Caenorhabditis elegans: one gene and its partners. The protein of the gene in region 1 interacts with the protein of each later gene in a pairwise test. Each region holds a gene or a part of one and is shown in the gene's direction. Other genes may lie near its edges.

Evidence for each region.
Region 2: the proteins of rpa-2 (region 1) and mau-8 interact in a two-hybrid assay, tested with the Caenorhabditis elegans proteins (2 studies listed by BioGRID).
Region 3: the proteins of rpa-2 (region 1) and rpa-1 interact in a two-hybrid assay, tested with the Caenorhabditis elegans proteins (3 studies listed by BioGRID).
Region 4: the proteins of rpa-2 (region 1) and nhr-111 interact in a two-hybrid assay, tested with the Caenorhabditis elegans proteins (2 studies listed by BioGRID).

The regions. Positions count from the first base shown.
Region 1 is NC_003279.8:4,768,501-4,772,226, forward strand, and holds rpa-2 (Replication protein A C-terminal domain-containing protein), read left to right. Parts: upstream 1-1,791; 5' UTR 1,792-1,803; coding exon 1,804-1,887; intron 1,888-1,934; coding exon 1,935-2,256; intron 2,257-2,305; coding exon 2,306-2,766; 3' UTR 2,767-2,858; downstream 2,859-3,726. Other genes in the region: M04F3.4 (EF-hand domain-containing protein), read right to left, coding at 2,986-2,989, 3,104-3,181, 3,378-3,507, 3,577-3,685.
Region 2 is NC_003282.8:13,376,081-13,380,962, forward strand, and holds mau-8 (Phosducin domain-containing protein), read left to right. Parts: upstream 1-1,935; 5' UTR 1,936-1,944; coding exon 1,945-2,144; intron 2,145-2,200; coding exon 2,201-2,402; intron 2,403-3,254; coding exon 3,255-3,434; intron 3,435-4,000; coding exon 4,001-4,125; intron 4,126-4,175; coding exon 4,176-4,245; 3' UTR 4,246-4,382; downstream 4,383-4,882. Other genes in the region: Y62E10A.6 (NADPH:adrenodoxin oxidoreductase, mitochondrial), read left to right, coding at 838-1,188; emc-3 (ER membrane protein complex subunit 3), read right to left, coding at 4,402-4,758.
Region 3 is NC_003280.10:7,662,830-7,667,962, forward strand, and holds rpa-1 (putative replication factor A 73 kDa subunit), read left to right. Parts: upstream 1-1,752; 5' UTR 1,753-1,762; coding exon 1,763-1,846; intron 1,847-1,898; coding exon 1,899-1,952; intron 1,953-2,000; coding exon 2,001-2,082; intron 2,083-2,126; coding exon 2,127-2,232; intron 2,233-2,274; coding exon 2,275-2,519; intron 2,520-2,561; coding exon 2,562-2,863; intron 2,864-2,915; coding exon 2,916-3,011; intron 3,012-3,060; coding exon 3,061-3,945; intron 3,946-3,990; coding exon 3,991-4,104; 3' UTR 4,105-4,281; downstream 4,282-5,133. Other genes in the region: F18A1.7 (Chondroitin proteoglycan 4 domain-containing protein), read right to left, coding at 1-91, 142-409, 458-760, 808-925. UniProt on the Caenorhabditis elegans protein: As part of the heterotrimeric replication protein A complex (RPA/RP-A), binds and stabilizes single-stranded DNA intermediates, that form during DNA replication or upon DNA stress.
Region 4 is NC_003283.11:16,122,024-16,126,756, reverse strand, and holds nhr-111 (Nuclear hormone receptor family member nhr-111), read left to right. Parts: upstream 1-1,917; 5' UTR 1,918-1,975; coding exon 1,976-2,027; intron 2,028-2,435; coding exon 2,436-2,546; intron 2,547-2,588; coding exon 2,589-2,759; intron 2,760-2,955; coding exon 2,956-3,095; intron 3,096-3,150; coding exon 3,151-3,240; intron 3,241-3,281; coding exon 3,282-3,453; intron 3,454-3,502; coding exon 3,503-3,702; 3' UTR 3,703-3,862; downstream 3,863-4,733. Other genes in the region: fbxa-143 (F-box domain-containing protein), read left to right, coding at 10-640, 688-894; skr-3 (Skp1-related protein), read right to left, coding at 4,284-4,457, 4,521-4,733. UniProt on the Caenorhabditis elegans protein: Orphan nuclear receptor.

The DNA.
Region 1 (3,726 bases):
AATTAGAACTTTCATAATGACATCGCTGATATATAAATGAAAAAAGATTTTATCTCGTCTATTATCAGATTCGCTTAGTTTTTAGAGGCCTTTGGCTTAAATGAATGCTACAGGTACACTTTTCTCTTAATGGATACGGAAAAGTGAACAAAAATCAAATTTCTAGCGTCTTTTCCACCATACCAATTACAAAATTCTACACAATTCAATTGAGAAGTCTACGGTTTGGAGTTTTAACGTTCACAGAGACGTACAATCGAAAAGAACATGGTTATTGCGAAGAAGAACTGATCGCCCGCCACTATACAGAAATTCCGACTTCAAAAGAGCAGTGACAGCAAATTATAGCTGTTTCAACGATTTCAATGCCTGTATAAGTCCATCTATGTTCGATCCGAAGATATTTCATTAATTTTTTGTTAAACTATTTCAATTTTTGTTCTTAAATCAATTTTTTTTCCTACTTTCTACAATTTGAGAATATAATACTCACGTAGGTGGACTGGAGAAGCACATCCTTGTTTCATCCGTGCAATTTTGATGGTCCCTCGATTCGACGAAGTCTAGAAATTAAAAAAATTAATAAAATATGAGAGGGAAAGAGATTAACAAAAGGAATACACGAATTAAGGAGGGCGAATTAACAAGTCACGGTTGAAAAATACTTTTTTTTGCGAAAATGGCTGAAAAAACGAAGAAAAACAATTCAAATTGAAGTTTTTAGAGTCGAAATTGATTTTTCTCCCCCAAAAAACAATGAAGAAAATCATCATTCAAAACCGTGCGGAGGTTGCAGAAATGGGCGTATTGTAAGGCACGGTTCTGTGGGCGTGGCCAATCCCCCGAGTTGGGAATCCCCCCAGTTGGACATCCCCCGAGTTCTTCGGGTCTCGTCGAGTGAAATGCGATAGAATTTGTCTGTGAAAAACCAAATATCGATTTTCCTTGAATATCGTGAAGAACAAATCTTCATACTTACGATTCTTCACAAATTCGATGAAAATCTGATAGTTTTTTCAATTTTAGCTCTATAATTCCGAAAAAAATCTTCTGTTAATTTTCGCGAAATGTCGTCAATTAAAATGCGCGCTGTGCAGTACGCAACGGTGTACGAAAGTTTACACTGAGTATTCAACGTTGAGCACGCAGTCAGCCAAATTGGAATACGGTAGAGAATCCTCGTCCATGTACCCCCCGCCGGGCCGTGGGTCGAGCTGAATACACGTGATTCTCCTACGCAAGGACTATAAAAGTGAGCTGTCACTCTCATTTTTCTTCTTTTTTCATAAAATTTAGTTCATTCACTTTATCGTTGCTTGTCTTTTTGTGATATTAAGACTTCCTGCGCTTATATTTTCATCTTGCCAGTGCTTTAGTGTTAGATTCATATAAATTTTCTGGCCTTCACTTTCAGATTTTTCACATTATCCAAAAATACATGTACACTGAATTCCTGAGTAAATAATTCTTTATGATTTATTTTTCTTTTTAATGGTTTTCCCTGTGTTCGCGGAATATTTTGTTTTGAAACCTAGTGAAGTAAGCGCGCTCTATAGAAACGCGCGAAATTGGCCGTTCAAACTAAGTATTGCATAATTTTAGCTCCATTTTCGACATCATATCAGTTTTTTACTAAATTTTTCTGTTAAAAAGTTAAAATTTATGTTTCAGTGTTTCTAAAATATGTAACACATCTTGTCTCTCTGGAATCTGTTGATAAACGCTAATTATTCACCTTCCCTTTCTTTCCTTCATTTTTCTCGCATTTCTAATCTATTTTCATCTTTCCAGAAACTACTAACCATGTGGAACGAGACTGTCGAGCACGAGAACGCAGGAAACGGATGGGCCGCTGGAGAGTCGTCGTTTATGACCGACAGAAAGCCTGTAAGAATAAGAGATAAATCATACTTTCAAATAAATATTTTTTACAGGACTCGAAGGCTACAACTCTCGGCGAGAGGCTCCCAGTGCCGGTCACGATTTCCAATCTGATCGAGCACTTTTCTGCGCAGGATGACAAGTATGTCGTCGGGACTTTCCGATTCGCAACGGTGTTGACCGTCGGTATTGTGAAGGATATCAGTCAGGATGGGACAACGTACACGTACGACCTCTGTGATCCAAACAACACGGAGATGGAATATCGTACGCTCAAGTATGACAATGAGGGTTCGACATTCGATCATTCTTCAATTGTCGAGGGAACTCGTGTTCGAGCCATCGGAAAGCTCAAGGGATTCGATGGAAACAATAGTAAGTTTATATTTCCTTCAATTATATATCTTAATTCAAATAATTTCAGCCATTATGCTGTTCAACATCACTCCAGTTGAAGACGACAAGGATTTCACGATCTTCGAGCTCGAGGCAGAAGCTGCACGTCTGTTCTTCCAAAAGAACGTGAGCGAGAAACTGAAGTCGGTCGACTCGGATGGCTTCCAAGGAATGCTGGCACCACCGAAGAGCAGAATGTCACAAACATCGCATCAAAGCTCGCAAGGATCGGACACCAAGGAGAGATTGTATGCTCAACCGCAAAAAGTGATGACGGGAGCGAACCAAGGAGATGTGCTCAGAGAGCGCATTACCGCCGTCTTGATGGCTGTGCCAGAGGGTTCTCGTGACGAAGGTCGACATGTTTCGTGGATAGCTGAGCAAATTCAAGAAACGAACATTTCTATTGTTCGTAAGTGCGTCGGTGAGATGGTCGAGAACGGATTGGTCTACACCACTGTCGACGAGGAAACTGTTTCCGCTATTTAACTGCTGATTGTAACATTATTTTCATTATCCTTCTTTCATCCCACTGGGAAATTCACTTTTGATACTCGAAACTATGAATGATTCATACTTTAAAAGCGTTTATTAGTAAATTTGAACATAATTAATTAGACGCTAATGATGCGAAGAATCCGAGGAGGAAAGAGAGCATGAGGAACGGCAAATCACATTATTAACCCAGACGATTGAACACACTTCGAGCTACCTGAAAACAAAACGAAATTGAATTTAACTTTTTTTCGAATGGAAGCTAGTAGAAGTGCTAGGTGTTAGGTCGAAAATGGATTGTGGTTGGTTCTCTAAATACTCTTAAAATCACATTTTCAATGAAAAGACCATTGTCAGGAACTGCTCGTAGCCGACGGTGATGACTCCATCGCGGTCCGTGTCGACGTCTCTGAAAATTAAGTAATCAGATTGTAAAGTATGATACTCCAAATTTTTTGGTCAAAAATTACTATAGAAACATAGAAAATAGTTAGTTCCATCTAAAAATATTTTTAAAGTAATATTTAATTTTGTTGAAAAATTTTGAATTTTTTAAAAGAGCTTTTCTCTAAATTTCTAAATCAATTTTAGCCCTGATTTCTAACCTGAAGGCAGCAGTGAGGGTCTGAAGAACGACGCAAAGTTGGATAAAATCGTCGAAATTGATTCGATTACTGTGGGATCTGTCGAATTTGTGCATAAGGATGTTGTAGAATTGTGGAGAGAGACGGTATCCTGAAGAAATATATGATCAGTCATCGAGTTTCCGATTTTCTTATCGCTTTTCTATGATTAAAAACTAACCAAATTGTGTGAGAGCATTGGTCAGCTCACTCTTATCAATATTTCCCGAACCATCGGTATCAAAACCACGGAAACAGTTTGTCCAGTCGTTGATATATCTCCACAGAGCCTGAAAATATGATTATTTTCACAAATTCTGGTTTATATTTT
Region 2 (4,882 bases), on another chromosome or scaffold:
ATTTGCCGGAAATTTTCAATTCCGGCAATTTGACGATTTGCCGATTTTTCAATTTGCCAGAAATATTAATCTTCGGCAAATTGCCGATTTGCCGGAAATTTTCAATTTCGTCAAATTACCTTTTGCCGATTTGCCGGAAATTTTTAATTCCGGCAGATTACTGATTTGCTGGAAATTTTCAATTCCTGCTATTTGCCGGTTTGCCGATTTGCCGAAAATTTGCAATTTGCCGGTTTGCCGGAATTTGACAATTCCGGCAATGTTCCGATTTGCCGGAATTGTTAATTTTCTCTAATTCGCCGGTTTGTCAGAATTTTCCAATTCCGGCAATTCGCCGGTTTGCCGGAATCGGTCATTTTCGCTAATTTGCCGATTTGCCCGAATTTTCCGATTCCGGCAATTCACCGATTTGCCGGAAATTTTCATTTTCGGCATATTTCCGATTTGCCGGAACTGTTCAATTAAGACCGTTTGCCGGTTTTCCGATTTGCCGGAAATTTTTATTTTCGGCAAATTGCCACTTTGCCGGAAATTTTCATTTTCGGCGATTTGTCGAAAATAAAAATTTCCGGCAATTTGCCGGTTTGCCGATTTCCGAAAATTTTAAATTCCGGAGATTTGCTGATTTGCCAGAAAATTTTTGGCAAATTGCCGGTTTCCTGGAATTTTTCAATTCCGGCAATGTGCCGATTTGCCGGAATTGTTAATCTTCGTCGATTTGCCGGTTTGTCGGAAATTTAAATTGGTTTAAATTATCTGGAAAACTATTATGACCCATAATTCCCGGATTCAAAAAAAAATCATAAAATCTCTGCAAATATATTTTTTTTATTTCAGAAAATGATAGACATGAAAGATCATTGCCGTGTAAATATGGTTGCTGCGTGTTCATCACAAGTGTATGCAACTGGATGGTGTGCTCATGGACCACATGGAATAATTGTAGACACTCAACAACAATCAATTTTTGTTGCCGATCAAATTGCCGCAGACTTTGCACAATTTAAAGATAGCACATCTAATGGAGTTGAAGAATTACTTGAAGATCGAAAAGTTCCATTTATATCATGGGATGAATGGAAACAAATTGATAGACAAGAACAAGACACTGGAAAGCTATCTGGAAAGATTCGAGAAAAGTTCACAACTTTTGAGAAATTTCTCACGAAATTGAAGAAATGCAATTAGAAAATGCCATAAATTATCGAGTTTTCTTTCACCCTTTTTTCCGGGTTTTACTGGAATTTCAGTACATTTTCTGTATTTAACTAGACACTTCTAGATAGAATAAATCTTTTTTTTTATTTTTTTATTGGATTTTTTTCCAGATTTTGGTCATTTTGCCAAATTTATTACCTTATTTGAATTATTTGATATTCTGATCCAAAAACAAATTGCATTTTAATGAGAAATTGGAAAATTCCCAGTAATTTTTGAATTTTTTTGATAAATATTTTAAAAATTTGCAAAAATATTTGAAAAAAGTATCAAATTTCTCATATATTTTCCAAAGAAAAAACAATTAATTTATAGAAAAGTCTGAAAAACGTTGAAAAAGGTAAAAATAGGAATTTAAAAATTATATAAAACGACCGATTTTTAATTGTTTTTTAAATTTTGATTAATTTGAAAAATTTAAAAAAAAACTTTTTTTTGGTATATATTTTTTTCAGATTTTGGCAATTCTGCCAAATTTATTACCTTTAATTTGTGTGATATTTCTCTAATTTTAAAAAAAGTTCCTTACGAAACTATCAGGAAATTTTACAAAAAATTTTAATTAATAAAATGCTTGAGAAGAAACTTTTTTAAAGAAATTTTCTCACCAGTAGTTTCAAATTTCTCATGATTTTTCTGAAGAAAAATTAAATCAAAATTTCTTTTTTTTTTTTCGAAAAAGATCAGAAATATAAATTTAAAAAAATATTTTTTCAGAAAACTCTAATGAATTTGGAATCACGAATTCTGGACGGAAAGCCTGCGGGTTACTGTAGCAGCTCAGAAGGTGAAGAGGACGATTTCAAAGTTGTAAACGATGAGGATGAGCATCAGGCGAATGTAATGAAGAGAATGGGACCATCTTCGAATACTGGAGCAAAAGGAGTGCTCAATGAGTTCAAAGCGTTCAGAGAACAGACTAGATTGTGAGACTATTTAAAAAATTCTTAAAAATTAAAAAAAAAATTTTGTAAATTTTCAGAGCTGTCGAATCAAAAAATCAGAAATTAATTGAGCAAGCGAAGAAAGGAATGATGATTGGATCGAAAGAAGAACGAGAAAAAGCACAACGAGAAGATGATGAAGATGAGGATTTTGAGATGACTTTGGAGGGATTAAAAGCGAAGAGACTTAGAGAAATGAGAAAAATTGCAGCAAATCGGGTTATTGAAATGACTGATAAGGTATAGGAACAATCAAAAAATACTTTTTTTTTTTTATTGTGAAAACTTTTGAAAACTTTTTAGAAAATATGGGAAAAAAAGAAAATTTCTCCAAAATGAATAAGAAAAATTGGCAAAAATTACCAGAAAACTGGAAAAAAAATTTTTTTTTCACTTTCCGAGTAAAAAATTAATTTCGAAAAAAAAAATACCAAAGATTTTCGATTTTTTTTCTAGAAAATTCAAAAGTCTCTCAATCTTTTTCTAGAAACATTTAAAAACTTGTCGAAATTTCAAAAAATCAAAATTTCTAAAAGTTTCGATATTTCCTTTTTTGATTTTTTAGAAAAAAACTTTTAAAATTATTTTTACAATTTTTAGTCGGAAATTTATTTTTTTTTAATTCGAAAAATTTCGTTATTTTTCAATTTTTTTCCACAATGACGTCGAGAAATTAATATTTTGATTTTATTTTTAAAAAATCAATTTTATTTTTAATAAAATAATAATTTTTTCTAATTTCTCGACATCGCCCCGTTGTCGTTAAAAATTCAAATATCGGCATTTTTCGAATTAAAAAAGTTGCTTTCTTTTCTTAAAAAAATCAAAAAAGGATATATCGAAACTTTTTCGATTTTTTCTCGAAAATTTAAAAAAAATCAGGTTTCCGTTTTTCGAGAAAAAAAAATTGCAAAATAATAGAAATTTTGATTTTTTTTTAAATTTCGACTAAAAATAAATAAAAAACGATTTTTTAACGGAAAATGATAAATAATGAAAACTAAAATTATTCAATTTTCCAAAAAAAATTAGCTTTTCTTCTTCATTTTATCGATTTCAAACATCCTTCAAAAATGCTCCAAGAAATTTCAGAAACAATATTCGGATGCCGTTGATGGAAGTTCATCATATCTTCTCTGTGTTCTAATATATGAGCCTGAATCCGATGAATGTGAATATTTGACACGAATCGTTAAGATTCTCGCCGCCGATTGTCCGAAAACCAAATTCGTTCGAGCGACAAGCACTCTTCTTGAAATGAGCAGAGCATTTGTATGTAATACGTTTCAGGGTCCCGACACGACAAATTTTTAGTTAAATGCGAAAAGGTCTTGCGCCTTTGAAGAGTACTGTAGTTTCAAACTTCCGAATTTTCAAAAGTTTTAAATTTTTTTTCGAAAGCACTATACACGTGATGTGAGAGTTTCTCATTTCGGCTTGATCTACGTAGATCTACAAAAATGCGGGAGAAAAGACGCAGAGTTCTCAACTGATTTCGCATGGTTAAGAACGTGCTGCCGTCACATTTTTTTGGGCAAAAAATTCCCGCATTTTCTGTAGATCAAACCGTAATGGGACAGCCTGGCACCACGTGCGTATATTGTTTCTGAAAAATTCAAATATAACAATAAAACCACATTCAATTTTGAAAACTCGTGAAAAAAAACCTATAGATATATGCAAAATCTATAAAAATTTCGGAGAAACGAACATTTGAAGTTACCACAATCTTTAAAGGCGCAGACGACAAAAAAAATTTTGTCGCGTCGAGACCTGGTACCGTATTTTTATTTTTAGCACAAATTTTCGAGTCTGGCCAATATTTTTTTATTTTTCAGAGAACGAACGGTGTGCCGTGCCTTCAATTCTATTCGAACGGAAATCTCATTGGAAATTTCGTGAAAATCTCCGCAATACTGGGACAGGATTATGATTGCAAAAAGTTGACCAAATTCTTGAGAGGGTACTAATTTCGCTGAATCTTTTTAAATTTAAAATTCAATATTTTTACAGACAACACATTGACTTGATGGCTGGTGGATATGCAAGTGATTCTGATAACGAATCTGAGGATGATGATTGATTATACAATTATATTTAACTAACAATTTAAAAATCTAAAACTCAAAGCTATTAAATGTATTACTTATTTATAACTTTTATATTATATTGGAAAAAAAAACAAATCGAATGTCAAATAAATAAATCAGTGAAACACAAATGTTTGGAAAGTACACGTTTAGAGAGCAAATTGATGTTGGATCATTTGAAGAGCCTCCCATTCTCCTTTGAATGCGGCACGTGGATCGGCTTGTGGATTCACTGCAGAGCCAGTCATTGCCATTTGATCTTCCATCGCTTTACTCTGATCAGCAGCATTTTCACTTCCGAGAACAAGTGTGTAGATTGATCGAAGGCCGAACATACAAAGGAAGTACCAGGAAGCTGAGGAGACCCAGGCAGAATCAAGGGAAACGAGATCAACTCCTCTTTGAAGCATCGCTTTGAATTTGAGAGTCAGTGGGAATGGAACTCGGGTGGTCACGAATCCGGAGAATGTCCAATTGATCCATCCTCCGACGACGATCATTGGGATCTGAGGGAGAGTAATTTTTTTTAAAATTTACTTTTAAAAAAATAAATTTTTGATATATCACAGTGTTACAGAAACGGGGGTGGGCAGCAGTTGCCTTTCGGAAAAAAATTGCCGGTTTGCCGAT
Region 3 (5,133 bases), on another chromosome or scaffold:
AGCCTTGAAATCGCCGTTGCGAATGCGGTTGAGACGAGTTGGGTTAATTGCAAAACGGCATCTTTTATCGATTTTCTTACTGATGACATCCCTGAAATGTTTAGTTACATAGCATATTTAATAATGATCGCACTAACTAACCTCAATGCTGGTGACAATTGATCAACCATTACAGAAACGGCATCGAATGGTTGCATAAGCATGTCCAGACTAAGCCATCCACTCAAGGCACACTTGCTGTTGAGTCGCTTGGTGACACATGGGAGAGTACATTGCAGAGAGTTACAAAGTTCTCCAAGATGATCAGCAACAATAAATACATTACCTCCAACTGTAGCAGCGAATTTAATGTTAGAATCTTGAGCGAAAGCAGTTAGGTTTGAACGAGCATAGCATTCTTTGTCGCAGCCTGAAAACGATTTTTTGATGGTGGGCAATTTTTCAGAAAAAAAATTACCTGACATGATATCATCAACGACAGGGTTGAGACACGACTCCATTCGCTCAAACAGAACGTGCTTTGTGGCACACATATATTCAACACTGCTGCTGGCTTTTGCGAAGAGCTTGTTGTGATCACAGTACTGTTCTTTCTTCAGACAAGTGATAGCCTGTGCATGATGACCACAGACTTTGCGAGCTTGATGTACAACATTCTTCATGTTCCACAGAGACGTCGTAGAATTGATGAACGGGTCGATGCACTTTCGCATGCAATATGGAACTCCAAGAGCGCGGAAAATTGTGTCGACGTCGAGGGCTGAAGTGAAACTTTAATCTTAAGCACACAATAATCTAGTTTTTTACCTTGTTCTTCGTGTGGCACGACATCTTTGTCGTCGTGTACCGATTCGATGGCACCATTTACACACGAGAAGAACAGAAAGATGGCGGGAAGGAAGAAGGCGAGATGGAGATGGCGCATCTGGAATTATGTAGAAGTTTTTTTTCCGAAATGGGGGTTAGATATTAAGCAGTTTGAAAGTGGTCTAAAAGCTTTCGAAAACTTTTATAAGCTTTCAAGAAGGTCATATAAGGAAAAGAACAGCTAGGTAGAAATGAAGTGGGTAACTGATATAGCCGAAACTTTACATAATTTATAAAATGAAAATTTATCAAAACTGACAAATGAAAATAAAACAAAATCCGAATTCTTTATGCGACTTTTCTGATTTCAAAATTTAGCGCGTCAATAGAAAAGTTAGATCGGCGGGAAAAAACAATTTCCAAACTACGGTTTTGATGGAGGTCTCGAAGCGAATACCGTACCCGGCAAGATTTACGCAGGTGGTCCGAGCCATTCATTTTTTTCTTTTTCAAATGTGAATTGCTTTGTTGAGAACCTGCAGAAAATCTTCATGTTTGGACGAAGTATTGACTTTTAGAATGTTTTTGTTCAGTATTTTAACCCTCTTCCAATATTGCGCTGCCATAATTTCGATTCATGCGATTTTGGCCGATGTAAAACCTTCATCAAAATTTCAACAATTATTATTGTAATCTTTAAAACTTCTCAATTCCTTTTTTTAATATTTATTTGTTTTCTCATATTTTAATTCAAGTTGTGCTCGATTTTCTTTGACTAACAGAAATTCCCGCTTTTCGGCACACATTTCCCGCAAACATCACATTCTACGCCATTTTTTTTGGCGCGTATCCGGCCTGTAGAGAATTCAAAATTGAATCGTCTCCCCTTCATTTGTTTCTTCATGTTTCAAGCTTTTTTCCCCAATTTTTATGTATCTGTTTCAGATAGTGAAAGATGGCGGCAATTCACATCAATCACGATGTCTTCAATAAGTATCATACTAACGGGAAACTTCGACTTACAACAGGCTATGTTCAGGTAAAGAAATCAATGTAGAAAACCAGGAAATTTAATTTTGATGAATTTTCAGGAGGCTATCGAAAACAATGGATATCCTGGACATGATGGAATCGTTCAAGTTTTGGTACTTTTGACTAATTCAAAAGTTTCGCAATAATTCGATAATTTTCAGAAAGGCAAAGTAGAGCAAGGAGAGCAACTTGGTCACGCATTCACTTTCAGAATTCGTATCTCAGACGGTGTTTTCCAATACAGTAAGTGAGTTTGTTATACTCTGATATTTATTTATGCTTTGAAGATGCGCTCATGTCCGCTGATATCGATGACCAAATCAAACGTGAAGTTGAGCATCTTGTTGAGGGAACAATTATCGCTCTTACTAAATTTGAAATCTACGACCAAGGGTGAGATTATAACATTATTGAGTCCTTCAATGTATTTTTCAGAGAAGGTGCTAAGAATTGCTTCCTGATCAAAGGATACAAAATTCTTTCTCGCTATCATCAGGTTTTGACCTCTCCAGAAGTCAAGCCAAGATCTCATTCTGGCAAACCTGATGAGCACAAAGGCTATAGACCAAATATTATCATCGAAGATGTTTGGCCTGAAGCTGAAGGAATGGCTGCTGATTACCAGGAGAATATGGCAAATCCACCAGCAGCAAAAGCGCCGAAAAGAGAATTCGGAGAAGGTAAAATCTAAGAGTTGTAATGTGTGTAATTCGAGTTTTCAGAAGCCTCATACAATCGTGCCGCTGCTCCAGAGGCTACACGCGCTCGAGCTGTTCCACCACCAGCACGCCGTACCGCGTCGAACACAGAAAGAGGCGTGATGCCTATTGCAATGGTTACACCGTACGTATCGAATTTCAAAATTCACGGAATGGTATCACGCAAGGAGGAAATTCGTACTTTCCCAGCGAAAAACACGAAAGTGTTCAACTTTGAAATAACCGATTCAAACGGAGATACAATCAGATGTACCGCATTCAACGAGGTTGCTGAGTCCTTGTACACCACAATCACCGAGAATCTTGTTAGTATTATTTTAATCGGATTATGCATAATAATTAATTTAATATTTTCAGTCTTATTATTTGTCTGGTGGATCAGTCAAACAAGCAAATAAGAAGTTCAACAATACTGGACACGACTACGAGATCACACTTCGCAGCGATTCTATCGTTAGTAAATTTAAAGCGATTCATCATAGCTAAAATATTAAATTTTCAGATTGAAGCTGGAGGTGAATTGCTTGCTGCTCCAAAGCTCATACTCAAACGAGTGAAGCTAGGTGAAATCGCTGGATATGCTGGACAACTGATTGACGTTCTCGTCGTGGTTGAAAAGATGGATCCAGAGGCTACCGAATTCACTTCAAAGGCTGGAAAATCTCTGATCAAGCGAGAAATGGAGTTGATTGACGAGTCTGGAGCACTTGTTCGATTGACACTTTGGGGAGACGAAGCAACAAAAGCACTTGTTGATGACTATGTTCAAAAAGTAATCGCATTCAAAGGTGTTATTCCAAGAGAGTTTAATGGAGGATTCTCTTTGGGAACTGGGTCAGCAACTCGTATTATTTCGGTGCCAGAAATCGCTGGAGTGTCTGAACTCTATGATTGGTACGCAAACGTGAAACCAACCACTGAAGTTAAGATGATGAGCCAAGCTGCTGGAGGATCCAATGAAGCTCCACGTACTATTGCAGGACTCCAAGAAATGCAATTTGGAAAGGATTCCGACAAGGGAGATTACGCAACTGTCAAAGCAATGATTACCAGAGTAAATCCTACGAATGCTCTTTATAGAGGATGCGCTTCAGAGGGTTGCCAAAAGAAACTTGTGGGAGAAAATGGTGACTACAGATGCGAAAAGTGCAATAAGAACATGAACAAGTTCAAGTGGCTGTACATGATGCAGTTTGAACTTTCGGACGAAACCGGACAGGTCTATGTCACAGCTTTCGGAGATAGTGCTGCGAAGATTGTTGGAAAATCAGCTGCGGAGCTTGGAGAATTGCACGATGAAAGCCCAGATGAGTACAACGCTATTTTCGAACGCCTTCAGTTTGTTCCAAAGATGTGGAGACTTCGTTGCAAGATGGATTCGTACAATGTAGCTTTATTTCTTGAAGATCCGTTATGATTGTTTTCTTTATAGGAAGAAGTTCGTCAGAAGATGACTGTCTATGGTGTGGATGATGTCAATCAGGACAAGTACATCGAAAATCTGAAGCAAATGATCGAGCAGATGCAACAAATGAGTGACTACTAAATGTTCTGTTTTTTATTACATCGTGCCGATCTCGACTGTTTCATTTAAATCTAAAAAAACCTAAATATTATTAAAACCTTTTTTGAGCCTAAAGTTATCACATGTCTCACATCCACAATCGCTGATTTTGTACAATGTTTTTCATCTCATTTACTAGCGAATAAACTATACGATGTGAGCCTATCTTTGAGTGCCAGGTGACCTCGAGATGTGTTCTGAAGTGACAGCATTGGGTCGTTGCAGCGTCCTTGAGAGCGGGTGACTGCCCGACAACAAATGGCCTTGGGTTGCCACATTTATCCTACGTCTCTCTGCCCACGACCACATTTTCCATTGCTAACCCGCAGGTTCGTGGGCAGCCAGCGAGCTCTTTGAGCTCTCTTCGTCTATTTCTCTCTAACGCTGTCTTTTTTTTTGTCTTATTTTCCATGAAAGACATTGGCGGATTAGTGGAAAAGACTAGTGACTTTCATTTACAGAAACGTCTTTTATCACCTGTTTTGATTTTCCAAAAAAATAAATTCCGTAATGATTTTATTATGTTTCCAAACAGTTGCAATTTGAACACTCCTTTCAAATTGTTCGTCCAAACTAAGCCGTGCTGAAAGAAAATTTCCGTCTTATATTTTGAGTGTAGCTTTTCTGTTGCAGTTGTTAAGATTTGTCGATGCAATTTAGGGTTATGCAGCTGACCTTATGGAGTGTCTGGGAGAGCACACACAAATGCGTTCCCAACAGAAGGTGTTCTCCGTGTCTATTCCCAATAAAGGTCATCTCCATATGCTCATCCCGTTTCTTTTCACCTAATACGTTTATTCGCAACCTTTTCTAGTTATCTTCAAAAAAAAAAGGTTCACGAATTGTTTTCCTCAATTTAGAGTTTAGTGGTGTCACAGTATCCCATCTCGGTTTTTTATTTGAAAATTGTGGGAATTTAATTCGAATTTGCTACCCAGGAAAAATGTCTGGAAATTCCCGGATTAAGCTGGAATGGGACACTCTGACACCACCCGTCTCCCATTTTATTTT
Region 4 (4,733 bases), on another chromosome or scaffold:
TATTTTCAGATTAATTGTGCGAAAAGTGTCTCGAAAAATGAGAGAAGTTATTGACACTCACAACCCTGGCTTCAAAACTCTAGGATTTTTTGTGAAAAAGAATTACACATCATTGCTCGTGGATAACATGGAAATCAAATATAGCAGCGTGGGACGTGATTGTGTCCTGAAGTATGGACAGAAGACAAAAACAATTATTGGTGCAAAATCTGTTGATGTGGCTTTCAATGACTTTGGAATTATCATGAAGAATCCGGCACTTCGCTTGGAAAAATTTCCGATTCAGCTTTCTGTTGATGTTGAGCAAACTGGGACTTATTTTTCAACTCTTCTTGATGTTTTGAAATCCTCCATGTCTTGCCTACACGTTAAAAAGTTTCATGGGACAGATTTCTCCGAGGAGCAGCTTCTATTAGTGATCCCTTTCCTAAAAGCTGGATATCTTGAAAAAATTGAGCTGCTTTCCAATGAGCCCACAGATCTCGAGAAAATCGCTAAACTTGAGCAATGGAAAAGAGCACAAGTTTTTGATTCGTTCTGGAAGAGTTATAAGGTTTCTGTCGAGGATATGCTCCATTTCAGAGAGTTCTATGTAATTGTACCTTGCTTTTCAAAAGAGGATGCAGTAAAACTGAGAGATGTAAGTTTAAATAAAAAATCGAAAAAAAATCCAAGTATTATTTTCAGTTGCTCACAAAATCAGTGGACTTCGAGAACGGGTGCTTCAAGTTCCCCGAAACCAACATTATCGAAATAGTGAGAGTTTTCATTCTGGACTACGAAGGAGAAGAACGGGCCAAAATTGATTATAACGAGAATGGCACAGATTTTATCTTGGACTTTAGCACAGAACACTTTCGATTGACAAAAAAGAAGATTGTGGACAGTGACTGAAATTAAATTTTAAAAAATATGATTTTTTTTAAAAGTTTTTGTATTGAATAAATTTGAGACAGACCGACGGCTCGAATTTCAGGTCAAAAGTAGAATTTTGCAGTTTGCATAATTTCAGTTTTTGATCACCCCATTCAGTAGGGAGCCATAAAAAATGGAATGATGATTAATATGCTCTTCTGAAAAATTAGACTTGTGTAAACACAGTGACGGATAACGACGTACGATTCGATAAAAAGGAATAGCTGCGGGAAATGGTGAGCACATGTGTAGGCTAGGAAGCAGTAGGCATTTTTTAGATGTGTTTGGTGCGGTTCAGTCAATTTTTTGCTGGGCTTTTGTGCTTCACATTGAGAGCGTTTTGATATTTTTGACTAGAAACTGAATGTGAGAAAATACTTGTTTCCGAGTATACTAGATGCTATACATAGGTTTTACAGTTTTATATCTTTATTGCATTTAACTGAAAATGACCAAAATCTGAAAAGTACGTAATTGGAAAATGTATGTCAAATTTCAGAATTTAATTAAATATACAACTGAATCGAAATCTGAATATTCTGAAATTTTCAATGAAGATCTCAGTTTTTTTTCCACCATCTTTTGCGCTAGGTTAGCTTAAAGACATTTTTCGTTTAAAATGAAAAAGTATTTAAATGAAAAATGACATATATTACGAAAATTTCCGCTTTCAGAAAATGTGATATCATATATTTCCAGCGGACAATTTCCGCATTTCTATGACTCAACAATTTATAGTCCAAATTTTATTTCAATTCGATCATTCCCTAGTGAATGTTTGCTTCTGATTGATTTCAACTTTAAATACACAAGTGATCTGAAGTATGGTATATCTGCAAAAAATTTTAGAGAGATTGCTGCTCAACTTTTGGCACCTTTTCTCTCGTTTCTCTAACTGTCACTTTATCCTTCTTGTACTAAGCCGGCTGCCTCCAACAGGTCAAGTGGGAGGAGTCGTGATTAGAAGTTGAGCAGTAACCAAATTATTTTTATGCTATTATTGTAGATACTGACAGGATATTCTCAACTTACTCAACGAGAGAATATTTAACAAAAAAAGATGAGCAGCCAAAATGCGAAGTCAATCGGTGGCATTTTGGAAACTTCAACAGGTATGCCCCAATTTATGGGATCGAAAAATTTTTTCATGCTTTAACTAGATAATTACTCAACTCACCGAAATGTATAAATGAAAGCATTTGGTAAAATATATCAGAAAATTTTTAGAAGTCGAAAACAAACTTGCAACGTTGTTTTCTAGATTTTGGAATTTTTTTGACATTTTCGAACAGATTGATAGCAATTTTTGTACTATACTTGTTGACATCTCAAAAATGTATTCTATGTTTCCATTATTTAGATCCCAGTTACGTTATAACCTGACAGAGGTTTGCGGGCGGTAAGTAGAAAAACCAGAAGCTTACAAAACTTGACCGCACTTATCAGCTTCTCAATTTACTTAGTTCAAAAGTTTTATGACAGAAGATTTACAATCTTTCACGCATATCTATAACTTTCAGTGCCTCTGGTCATCCAACCGCAGATTGTAAATGACCCCGCGCAAAACAACATAACTCTTCCAATCACGCTTTGTGCAGTTTGTGGGGACACTTCTAACGGAAATCATTACGGTTGGAAAGAAGATTTAGAAACTAGATAACAATGAATTTTAGGTGTGCCAACCTGTTTCGGATGCAGTGGGTTCTTCAGAAGAACCGTTAGAAACAAGTTGGTACATGGATGTTGGAATGGAGACGGAAACTGTGTGATTGATAAAGCGAACCGGAACAGGTGCAAGTCCTGTCGAATTAAAAAGTGCTTCAAGAAGGGGATGAATAAGAATGGTAAGCTGCTTCTCTGAGTTTGGGCTTCAGATCATTAACTTTGTGTTTGCACCATATAGTGCGGTAGGTATTTTTCAGTGGCCGACATTTTTTTGAGTTTCGCGCCGCACCATATTAACAAAGGCCTGAGGCCGGCAGAAGCCTCCTGAAGCCGGCGAAGGCGACACAGTTTCGTCTCTAAATAATTATTTTCCAGCTGTGCAACCCGAGAGAACTTCCCATAGCTACACTGTAGAGTATGTCGAGTTGCCCTCATTCCGAGAGTATTCCAAGGGACTTCTGCCTACTCACTCTGATCGTCTCAGATTCCAACACGAACATGCTCAACATGAAATTGTTAGTTAATCAGGAGACAAACTATCAACCTGAGACACCACAAATTTAATTTCAGGACACAAGCTCCGTGCTAGTTCATCTGAAAAACGCACTCCAGTGGGTGCAACAGTTTTCGCTCTTCGCAGTGCTTTCCGATGTTGAAAAGGTCTAAATGCCAAACATAAAAGTCATTAAAAAAATTTCCAGAGCCAGATCATACTGACCCAGTGGCCACATCTTTTGTGCCTCGCGTTGTTCGAAAACTCCGAAAAAATCTTCATCGATGAAAAATTTGCACAACTGGCTGAGAAATTCAAATCCCTCGAACTTTCGGCGCAGGATTATTTCCTCTTGAAGGGAATTATTATTTTCACGGAAAGTAAGTTTAACTAGAAAAGCTGCTGAGCTTTCAGAAACTAAAATTTCAGCCAAAGATGGCACTGATCTCAAATTCGATCGCCAACTTGATATCTGTATCGGCCTTCTCAATCAGTTGCACCTGGAGTCTTCAAAGTCCAAATCTGGAAGGCTTCTATTTCTCCTCGGCGAGCTTAAATCCTATTCTACTAGACAGCTTGAATCTCTCCTGGATCTTAAAGCTTGTGAGATTGTGATTAGTTTTCTTTAAATTTTGACTATTTTTCTGATGCTGTTATATGCACACATTACCCCCATTTTGCTCACTAGTAGTGCTCAGCTTAAGCTTAGACTTAGGCTTACGGTTAAGCTTAGGCTAAGGCTTAGGCCTTGGCATAGGTCCTGGCTTAGAGATTTTCATTTAATTTGCAACTGTTTCCTCAAAAACAATGTTCAAACCCAAATTTCTTTCCTATTTTTTCTCCAGATTCCCCCAAGGCAACCAAATTTTTTAAACAATTTTCTTCTCGATCAGTTGAAATACTTCCAAAAACGTTACAACGATTTTGAACAGTTTTTTTACAAGTCAAAACAGTAGTTGGCTGCAAATTTGGCCGCCAAAGTTTTTTTTTTTTGCAAATGGTAAATTCATACACAATGAACAAACTACACAATATACAGACGTTATACATTTATTTAAATTATATTTTTTGTTGGAAGCAATGTAAAGCGTACTTGACAGACAAAGTTTTTTTTTGTTTAAAATAATTTTTGATTTTGTTTTAAGTGACATAAAAGAGGTATGTAAACCGAATCAGATAAAGTTCAAGTTAATTATGTTTACCAGGGAGCTTAATCCTCGCACCAAGCGTTTTCCTTCTTCATGGCCTCCCGTTCCTCCTCGGAAAAATCGTTCTCAATGTTGAAGAGGGTTCGGATTTGGCTTGGAGTTTTACCCTTCATCATGTTAGCCACATTCTGGGTGGTCACGTCCAAAAGCCCACGGATGTCGAGGTAGTTGGCGGCCTGAAAAAGAAATCGGTTTAATGTTCAATTCTGGAGAATAGCTTATAAAACTTTAATATTTACCAAGATAATTTCGAACAAGGTTCCCTGATCGACTTTCATGAATTCGGCGTCCCATTCACTAATGTCTACCGTCTTTTTGTTTTCGTCGACTTTCTTTGGCTCATCGTCGGCGTGATGCTCGCACCAGGTGATAATCTTCTCAAGGATAGTAGAAGTCACTTTCTGAAGTGGAATCGTGTCTTCAGAAGTGGATCCAGATTCTTCAATTCCAAG